2 linked regions of the Canis lupus familiaris genome follow. The protein of the gene in region 1 purifies or fractionates together with the protein of each later gene. This does not show direct contact. Links are inferred from orthologs where the notes say so. Each region holds a gene or a part of one and is shown in the gene's direction. Other genes may lie near its edges. The genes, in order: CD19 and CD81.

Evidence for each region.
Region 2: the proteins of CD19 (region 1) and CD81 purify together in Homo sapiens (affinity purification with western blotting, with the first as the bait; 3 studies listed by BioGRID). This does not show direct contact. The link is inferred for Canis lupus familiaris from reciprocal best matches to the Homo sapiens genes CD19 and CD81.

What each region holds. Positions count from the first base shown.
Region 1 is NC_049227.1:18,583,828-18,588,237, forward strand, and holds the start of CD19 (B-lymphocyte antigen CD19), read left to right. Parts: upstream 1-1,326; 5' UTR 1,327-1,390; coding exon 1,391-1,478; intron 1,479-1,714; coding exon 1,715-1,969; intron 1,970-2,303; coding exon 2,304-2,507; intron 2,508-2,616; coding exon 2,617-2,931; intron 2,932-3,953; coding exon 3,954-4,061; intron 4,062-4,302; coding exon 4,303-4,351; intron 4,352-4,410. UniProt on the Homo sapiens protein: Functions as a coreceptor for the B-cell antigen receptor complex (BCR) on B-lymphocytes. Decreases the threshold for activation of downstream signaling pathways and for triggering B-cell responses to antigens.
Region 2 is NC_049239.1:46,911,223-46,915,616, forward strand, and holds the start of CD81 (CD81 antigen), read left to right. Parts: upstream 1-1,519; 5' UTR 1,520-1,718; coding exon 1,719-1,784; intron 1,785-4,394. UniProt on the Homo sapiens protein: Structural component of specialized membrane microdomains known as tetraspanin-enriched microdomains (TERMs), which act as platforms for receptor clustering and signaling.

The sequences.
Region 1 (4,410 bases):
CAGGAGCTCCAGGGGCAGCCTGGCTTGTGCTCTTGGCCATTGACTGATGCTGTCTCTCAGTAACTGAGGGCCTACTATGTACTGGGCCCTGGGGACAAATGCCATAGGTACACCACCCTGTTTAATGTCCACAAACAAGGGACGCCTGGGTGGCTCAGTGGTTGAGCGCCTGCCTTTGGTTCAGGGTGTGATCCTGGAGTCCTGGGGTTGAGTCCCATATCGGGCTCCTTGCATGGAGCCTGCTTCTTCCTCTGCCTCTCTGTCTGTGTTTCTCATGGATAATTAAGTAAAATCTTTTTAAAAACTGTTCACAAACAAGATTTAAAAAAAAATATTTTAGTTATTTATTCTTGAGAGACACAGACATAGGCAGAGGGAGAAGCAGGCTCCTCAAGGGGAGCCTGATGCGGAACTCGATCCTGGGACCCCAGGATCCTGGATCCTGCCTTGGGCTGAAGGCAGACTGAGCTCAACCACTGAGCCACCCAGTGCCCCCCAAATGAGATTTTGCTAGCGCTATTATTATCCCCAGTTTACAGAGAAAGAAACCAGAGCTTAGAGAGATGAAGAAACTTAGCCAAGTGGTAGGCACAGAGTATTCTTTTTTTTTTTTTTTTTTTTTTTTTAAGATTTTATTTATTTATTCATGAGAGACACAGAGAAAGAGGCAGAGACATAGTCAGAGGGAAAAGCAGGCTCCATGCGGGGAGCCCAACGTGGGACTCGACCCTGGGTCTCCAGGATCACACTCTGGGCCGAAGGTAGTGCTAAACCACCGAGCCACCCGGGCTGCCCAGGCACAGAGCATTCAGTCAAGTCTTCCAGATCTCAAAGGATGTGTGACAGGCTGGTTTTACCGAGTGGGAAGGAGGCCCAAGAAATGTCAGTCGAAAAAATGAATGGGGTGTATGTGTGTGTGTGAAGAGAAATGGGTTTAAAGCCTGGGGTTAAAGAAGGGAAGGGGAGGAGAGAGCCCCCAAAAGTGGAGCCACTCAATTCAACAAATATTTATTGGGCCCCCTGCTATGCCCCAAGCACCGTCCCAGAGCACCGAGCATACAGTGTTGAACAAGACCAAGGCTCTGCCTCAAGGGGCTTACATTCTAGTGGGAGGAACAGAAAGTGAACAAGTAGACACACAAACAAGATCATTTCACACGGTGGTTAAGTATCGGGATGAAAATAAAAGCGTGGCAGGGAGAAGACAAGTTTTGTGGGTCTAGAGGGGTGCATGGAGAAGGGGACTGGAGGTGTGACCACCCCTTCCTCCCTGGGGGACTGCCCGCTCGCCCGCCCCCACAGACGCTCATGGTTCAGTGCCCCCCAGGCCCCCGCCTGCCCCAGCATCCCCTGCGCGGCCAAGCTGGGTGCCCCGGGGAGTCTGGCCGCCATGCCACCTCCTCTCCTCCTCTTCTTCCTCCTCTTCCTTACACCCGAGGGAGTCAGGCCCCAGGAAACACTGCAGGTGGAGGCTAAAGGTATGTCCAAAGGGTACAGATGGAAAGAGTTGGGGGTGGAAACTTGGCTTCCGCTGGGTGCCCTCGGCCAAGGAACCCACCCTCTCTGGGCCTTCATTTTGTTATTTGCAAAATTCAGGGAGGAGTTGGGACTCTGAGAGCTCACACACTCCCAGCTGGTGGGGGGTGCTGGGTAATAATCCAGTGTGAGGAATGAAGGGGGCGAAGGGTTCCTCTCCCTCTTTCTTTCTCCTCAGAGGGAGGCAAAGCTGAGCTGCCATGCCTCAAAGTTCCCTCAGATGGTCCCCTTGAGCAGCAGGCCTGGTTTCAGGGGGCTCAGTCAGAGCTGGGCCTCTGGTCACAAGGCCTGGGCGTCCGGAAGGGGTCTCTGGGCATCCAGCTGTTCGTCTTCAACGTCTCTGACCAGATGGGGGGCTTCTACTTGTGCCAGCCGGGGCCCCCTTCCGAGCAGGCCTGGCAGTCCGGCTGGACAGTCAGCGTGGAAGGCAGTGGTGAGGTCTGGGCTGGGGCAGGGAGGGGCGGACGAGAAGAGGGAGGCCCAGCTCGGATGGAGGCCTTCAGCAGCTAAAACAGATTTGGGAGGAGGGGCTGGAGGGGCTGAGGATCGAGCATGCCTGCCGCTGGTTCCAGGTGGCTCCTCAAAACTCCTGTGGCTTTGTGACTTCAACACTGAGCTGTTCCATCTTTCACTCTCTCCTCTCTCTGAGTTGTCGTTCTTATCTCTCTCTCTGGGTCTTTGTCTCCATCTGTCTTTGGTTTTCTGGGTCTCTGTATCTCTCTGCCTTTCCTGGATGTGTCTGTATCTGGTTCTGGGTCTCTTCCCAGGGGAGCTCTTCCGGTGGAATGCTTCAGCCCTAAATGACTCAGGCTGTGGCCTGGGGAACCGACCCTCAGAGGGCCCCAAGCCCTCTTCTCGTTACCCCACAAGCTCCCAGCTGTACGTGTGGGAAAAAGACCACCCTGAGATCTGGGAGACAGACCCTGAATGTGCCCTGCCCCGGGGCACTCTGAACCAGAGCCTCAACCAAGGTAAGGTGCTGCGGAGATGCCGGGAAGGGAGGGTTTCAGGGATGAGGGGATGGTGATTGGGAATTGGAGGGTTTGCAGGGAGGAGACCCCAAGGATCACATTTTCCTAGCCTTGGCTCTCCCTGCCCCAGACCTCATCGTGGCCCCTGGCTCCACATTCTGGCTGCCCTGTGAGGTGCCCCCTGCCTTCGTGGCCAGAGGCCCCATCTCCTGGACCCACGTGCGCCCCAAGAAGCATAACATCTCCTTGCTGAGCTTAGACCTGAGGGAGGATGCCCCAGGCAGAGAGATGTGGGTCCTGGGCACCCTCAGCGGAGGGGCTGTTCTGTTGCTGCCCCAGGCCACAGTTCGAGATGCTGGTACCTATCGTTGTTACCATGGCAACAGGACCGTCGAGATGCAGCTGAAGGTCATTGCCCAGTCAGGTAGAGCTTCTCCCAATGGTGGGGCATCTGTGTGGGGCTCCTGGGAAGAACTGGGAGCCAGTCAACCTTGGCGCCCCTACCTGGGAGCTAGTACCAGACTCATCCCAAACCCCAGCTTCTATCCTGACCACTGACGCTACCTCTGCCCTCCCTTGTTTCCAAATCACTACTTTTCTGGGTCTCCTATCACTGGTTACTTCTTCCCAACTGCTTTGGTAGGGTCTTCCTTCTCCTCCTCCCCCCTCACTGTTGGACCTCTGAGGCCTCATCCTGTTCCATCAGTGCTCTCTCATTCTTGTTTACACACTCTTCCTGTTTGACCTCCTTTACTCCCATGACTCCTTAGGCCTCCACGCCTTAGTGACTTGATTCCAGGCTCCATACACCTCACCCCCAGCCATTTCCTGTCATTTGATGCCCCTGAAGGTTCAAAATATACAAAGTCATACTCAATATCTTCCCCAAGTCTTGTGGGTGTCTGTGTGTCAGTGAAGGACACTACCACCTGCCCATGGGCCAAAGCCAGGAACCTGGGTATCCTTCCTTTTCCTCACCCACCCATCAAACTGGTCACAGTGCTCTGCCCCTTCTTACTCCCTTGATATAATCCTCCCATGCTAACCGTAACCACAGTTCTCAAACTCAACCTCAACTTTCACTCTACACTTCACCCCAGTACATTGCTGCTTCCTACCTCTAACTTTGTGAATGTGACTCTGTCCTTCACTTTGAACATGACTGTCCTTAACTGCAGCAGGAAGCTGATCTTCATGCTCTCCTGAATCCCAACATAGTCTAACTATAGTAATGTTTTTTTTCTGTAGATACTGCCCTAGGCCTCAGGTCAGGCTCTGGGGCATGGTCCCGGACCTCAGAGGGAGGGAGGCGAGCCCCCCTGGTAGCTTGTGATTTGGGGGTTGTGTCTTGTCCATGTCCCCAGACTTATGCCCCTTTGAGGTCTTGAGGCTGGGGAGCAGCATGCCAGCCTGGGGTCCCTTCTCATAGCTGCTTCTCCCTCACAGTAAGGTACTGGCTGCTGGAGACTGGTGGCTGGAAAGTCCCTGCTGTGCCATTACTTTATCTGATCTTCTGCCTGGGTTCCCTGGTGAGCTTTCTTCATCTTCGAAGAGGTGAGTCATGTCCTCCAGCCTGTCTGCCCAACATACCCCATCTTCCCCAGGACCGCCCAGGACAGCTCACACCAGCCAGTCCGATAGCCACCTTTTCTCTTTCCATACCTCCCCCACAGATCTCCAGTCCTGCTTCCCACTCCTCTAACCGCCCTCCAACTTACTTTGAAGTCCCCTCCCCTCCATTGACCCAAGTGACCTCCCCCTGCCTCTTCTGATCACGCCCCCTCACTCCCACCAGCCCTGATCCTCAGGAGGAAAAGAAAGCGAATGACCGATCCCACCAGACGGTAATGACACGAGCGCCCCTGCCGTCTTTCATCCCTGCACTTTGGCTCAATGCTTTGCA
Region 2 (4,394 bases), on another chromosome or scaffold:
ACCTAGCTCCCCTTCCCAGATGGTGGGCTCATGAGCCCCCTCTGCTCCCCTTCCCAGAGGGCCCCGGGAAGGCCTTTCTCAGAGGATTCATCCCACAGCTTTGGCAGGAAATGAACCTATCACTGTGGTCAGCGGGGGCCTGATGGGAGAGCAGAGTGCCCAGGACACGTATGCAAGCATCCTGTCACCCTGGAGACCTCTTCTGCCTCCTTTTCCGCAAAAAGAATCCTAGCAGGGCCACCTGGGGAGCTCAGTCGGTGAAGCATCTGCCTTCGGCTCAGGTCAGGATCTCAGGGTCCTGGGACAGAGCCCTCCATCAGGCTCCCTGCTCAGTGGGGAGCCTGCTTCTCCCTCTCCCTCCTGCTTGCACACTCCCTCTCCCTCTCTCTCTCAAATAAATAATCTTTTTTTAAAAAAAAGAACCCTGGCAGACCCCAAGTGAGGATGTAAGCCATTTTTATTATAATGTTATCTCAACACACACAAACACTACACTATGTACAAACACGTGTGCATAGCTCTTATACAAGCAGGAAGCCAGGATGGACTTTGATTTTATTATTATATTTTATTTATACCCCAACTTTCTTTTTTTAAGTAGGCTCCACACCCAACACTGGGCTTGAACTCACCATCTCCAGATCAAGAGTCCCATGCTCTACCAAGTGAGCCAGCCAGGTGCCCCTGGAACAGATTTTTTTAAATTAACCACCAAGAAAACTACAGAAATAAGAGTACAGAGACAGGAGTAAGCTAGGGCTGCTCCGGCTAATAGGAAGCTGCTGGCCACCCAGGGCCATTCCCACTGCAGTGAAGTACAATGAAAAATCTGGGTCCTGCTGGGTGGTGGCACTGGCCCCGTGTCAAGGGGTCAGCAGTCATTTGTGCCAGGGTTACACGGAACATTTCCACTTCTTCATCCGAGAGTCACCAGGCCACAGGTCCGCTCTGTCACCTGGGGAGAAGCACTGCCCACTTGATGGGTCCCCTCCTGCCCGCATCCCCATCAGCCTGCCCCCCGGCCCCCATCTTCAGAAAACCGACTTGACTGTGGGGCTGGCCTCCACCGGGGTGAGCAGAGTACACAGTGTTTGGAGGCTGTCCTACAGGTGGCTGGGGTCTCCTGGACATTTAACACCGGTCACCGTCTCAGGGACCTTTCCAAGCAGACTCTGTCGCCGTGCTCAACAACTGCCCTTACCGTGGATGACCAGGATTTTCAAGCCAGGCCGGCTGGCTGTCAGGCTCATCACCCACCCTGGGGGGCACTCGCTGCTGCATCACCTCCTCCAGGGAGCCTCCTTGGATTGTCCGAAGCGCCTGGGGAAGGCCGAGAGAAGGGGAAGGTGTTCGCAGGGCGCCGCGAGGCCGGCCGGCGTTGGGCTCGGGGCACCCAGGTCTGACCCCCGCGGAGCGCGCGCTCCGGGGGCGGGGCGGGGGCCGGGGGCGGGGCCGGGGGCGGGGCCGGAGCGCCCTATAACAGGCGGCGGGGGCGCGCGCGCGGCCAGAGAGCGAGCGCGCAGCGGCGGCGGTCGACCCAGCGCGCCCCGGCCCGGCCTCCCGCGCCCCGCGCCCCGCGCCCCCGAGTACCCGCGCCCCGAGCACCCGCGCCCCGGGCCCGCGCCCCGCCCCGCCGCCCGCCAGGCCCCGCGCCCCGCGCCCCGGCCCGGCCCGGCCCGCCCCGCGCACCCCGCAGGCCACTCGCCGCCCGCGCCGCCATGGGGGTGGAGGGCTGCACCAAGTGCATCAAGTACCTGCTCTTCGTCTTCAATTTCGTCTTCTGGGTGAGCCCCCGGCGGGGGGCGGGGGGCGGGGGGGGCCGGGACGCCCCGAGCCCGGCAGGCCGCGCGCCCCACTAGGCCGCGCAGAGGGGCCACCTGTGGGCGCCGGGCGGGGGGTGGTCCGGGGCCGGCAGACGGGCGGAGGGGGTGCTGCGAGCCGGCTGTCGGGGCGCGGGGCCGGGCCGGGGCGTCCGGGGGGCCGTGGGGGCTGAGCCCGCCGAGCGATGGCGGGCGGCGCGGCGGGAGCGGGCTGGGGGCCGCGGGCCGCCGTGAGGGGACCACCCTGCTCCGCCGGCACCGAGGGGGCTCGGGGGGCGGGGCTCCCGGCGCCCCGCCCCCATGAGCTCATCCGAGCCGCCGCCCCTGGAAGGACGGGGGGGCGGGGGGCGGGGGGCAGGGGGGCCGCGCACTCGGTGCGGTCCTGGGAAGCCCTCGCCCCACGGCCGGCCCAGCAAGCCCTGCCGCCCCGGGGATGGCCGTGGGGGGCCCCCAGCGGCCCGCGCCTGGTGGGGCCGGCCCCCTGCACTGCCCCCCCAGCCCGGGGTTGCAGCCTGCCCCGGCCAGGACGCGGTGGAGGCTTTGAGGGGAGTGGGGCCAGGGCGGGCAGGGGGCCCCGTGGACCCGAGCGCCTCTGGGCCCCTCCGGAGCCTGGGTCCCAGGGGATGCCCAGGTCTGGGCTTCGGTCTGAGCTTGGACGTCCACCTTGGAAGAGGTAGCCACAGGATGTTCATCTTGGGGTGCAGGAGGGTCTCAGGGCCGTCAGGCTGCTGACCTGCAAGTCGCGTTTTCCTGGCCTGGGTGGTAACTGCTGGCCAGGAACGCTGGAGCTTTGGCTTTGTTTCGGTTTCCTGCCTGTGTTGGAGTTGGGGAGGGGCCCCGAGTGGGTGCAGGAACCCCTCTCCTGGCGCTGCCCTGCCTCCTCGTGGCCAGTCATGTTCCCCCCCCCCACCCCCCACCCCCCGCAGGACCTGGGAACCTTCCTGGGTGGCTGTGTGCTGCTCGCCACCCAGGCTGCTCACTCCTTCTGGGAAAGGACCATGACAACATCTGCTGGACAGTGTATTTCCCAAGTAGATGCAAGAGGGTAAACTTTTAAAATGGTCCCCAGAGCAAGTGTGTGGGATTGGGGACATCTGTTTCCGTTCTGGACATCCGAGGATCCCAGCGTGGATCTTGGGGCAGTGAGGTGTTTGGGGTGGCGGGGACAGAGACTGGACGGAGCTTTAGCTGAGGGTGAAGTGGAGGCATTGCCCCCCGCCTGGGTGGGAGGCACAGCTGGGGGTCGCTGTGGCCACTGGCCTCTGCCTGGGGAGTGGGGAGCACGGGGACTGTCAGGATGGGCCAGGTATGACCTTAACCATGCCTGGGGTCTTTGCCGAAGAGGTGGTGTTGAGTGTCGATTTAGTATTTGCCTGCTATGGCCTGGGTGTATAGGGGTCGGGGTGAAGGGACACCCAGACACCCCTCTGCTGGCCTCTGAGCCCCTCCCCTACCAGCGGAGCCTGGATGTGGGGTGAGGACCCTGACCAGGAAGTGGAGGGTAGACAGACATAGAGGCTGTCTTCTGGAGTAGATTCTTGTCCTTGGGCTGAGTGTCAGCTCTGGGTAAGTCCCTCCCCGCTGCCCAGCTTGGGAGGTCTCCAGGGCAGCCCGCGCTCACCTCCCAGCTCTGCTTGAGCGAGTCCGGTAGTTCCCCAGGCAGCTGGGCAGAGGCCTGACACATCCCCAGGGGCTGCTCTTCATTGAGGCTTGAGGAAACGTTTCCAGGCCTCTCCTCTCCCAGCCACCCAGCTGAGCACTCAGCGCTGCATCCCACGGTCCAGTTGCCTCGGTCCCACCCACCCCTGCAACAGACATGCAGAGCTGAGCAAGGTGGGGCTGGGGGCCACCACTGTGGCAGAGCCCCTCTCTGCGGGCGTCCCGCCTCACCTGGCTGGCAGCATGGTGCCGAGGGGCTGGTTCTGGGTGGTGGAGCCCTGTCCCCTCTGCTGCAGTCCTGGGCCTTGGAGTCCTGCCCCCTGAGGTGGACGTTTTCCACGTCCTGTCTCCCGGGGCTGGCAGATTAGCTAACACCCTTACAGGCGAGCTCAGGAGGTGGTCGTAGGGCACGGATGGCCGGCAGGAAGACTGCTGTCCTGCTGTCCTGGCCCGGTGTGGGCTGTGCCTCGGGGAAGGGGTTTCGGATGCCCCAGAGGGTGGTGGGTGAGGGAGGGCACCCCAGTGCCTGGCCTGACTCGCTCACTGTGCACCGTGGCCACCGTACAGGAGTGGGTGCTGAGGGGGAGCCGGGAGGAGACTTTGACAGTGGGTACCTGCATCGGGGCAGTTTTAAAAGTTTCATTTCAGAGAGTGAAAAGGCTCACACATGGGAGCAGTCCTCAAAGGCAGCCAGGCTGGCTTCCCCAGGAAGGAGTGCGTCTCTCTCCTCCTGGAACCAGGACTTTGGGACCCCAGGTGGCATGCACTCAGCATGCCTGACCACAGCCTGACTTTGGGGCTCCCTGGCCTGGCAGGCATCAAGCCACGAGTAGGACTGCAAGCAGCAACCGTGGCCAAGCCTGGAAGACGATGGCGCAGACACCCTGCCCCGCAGCGTGGAAATCCTCCCGGTTG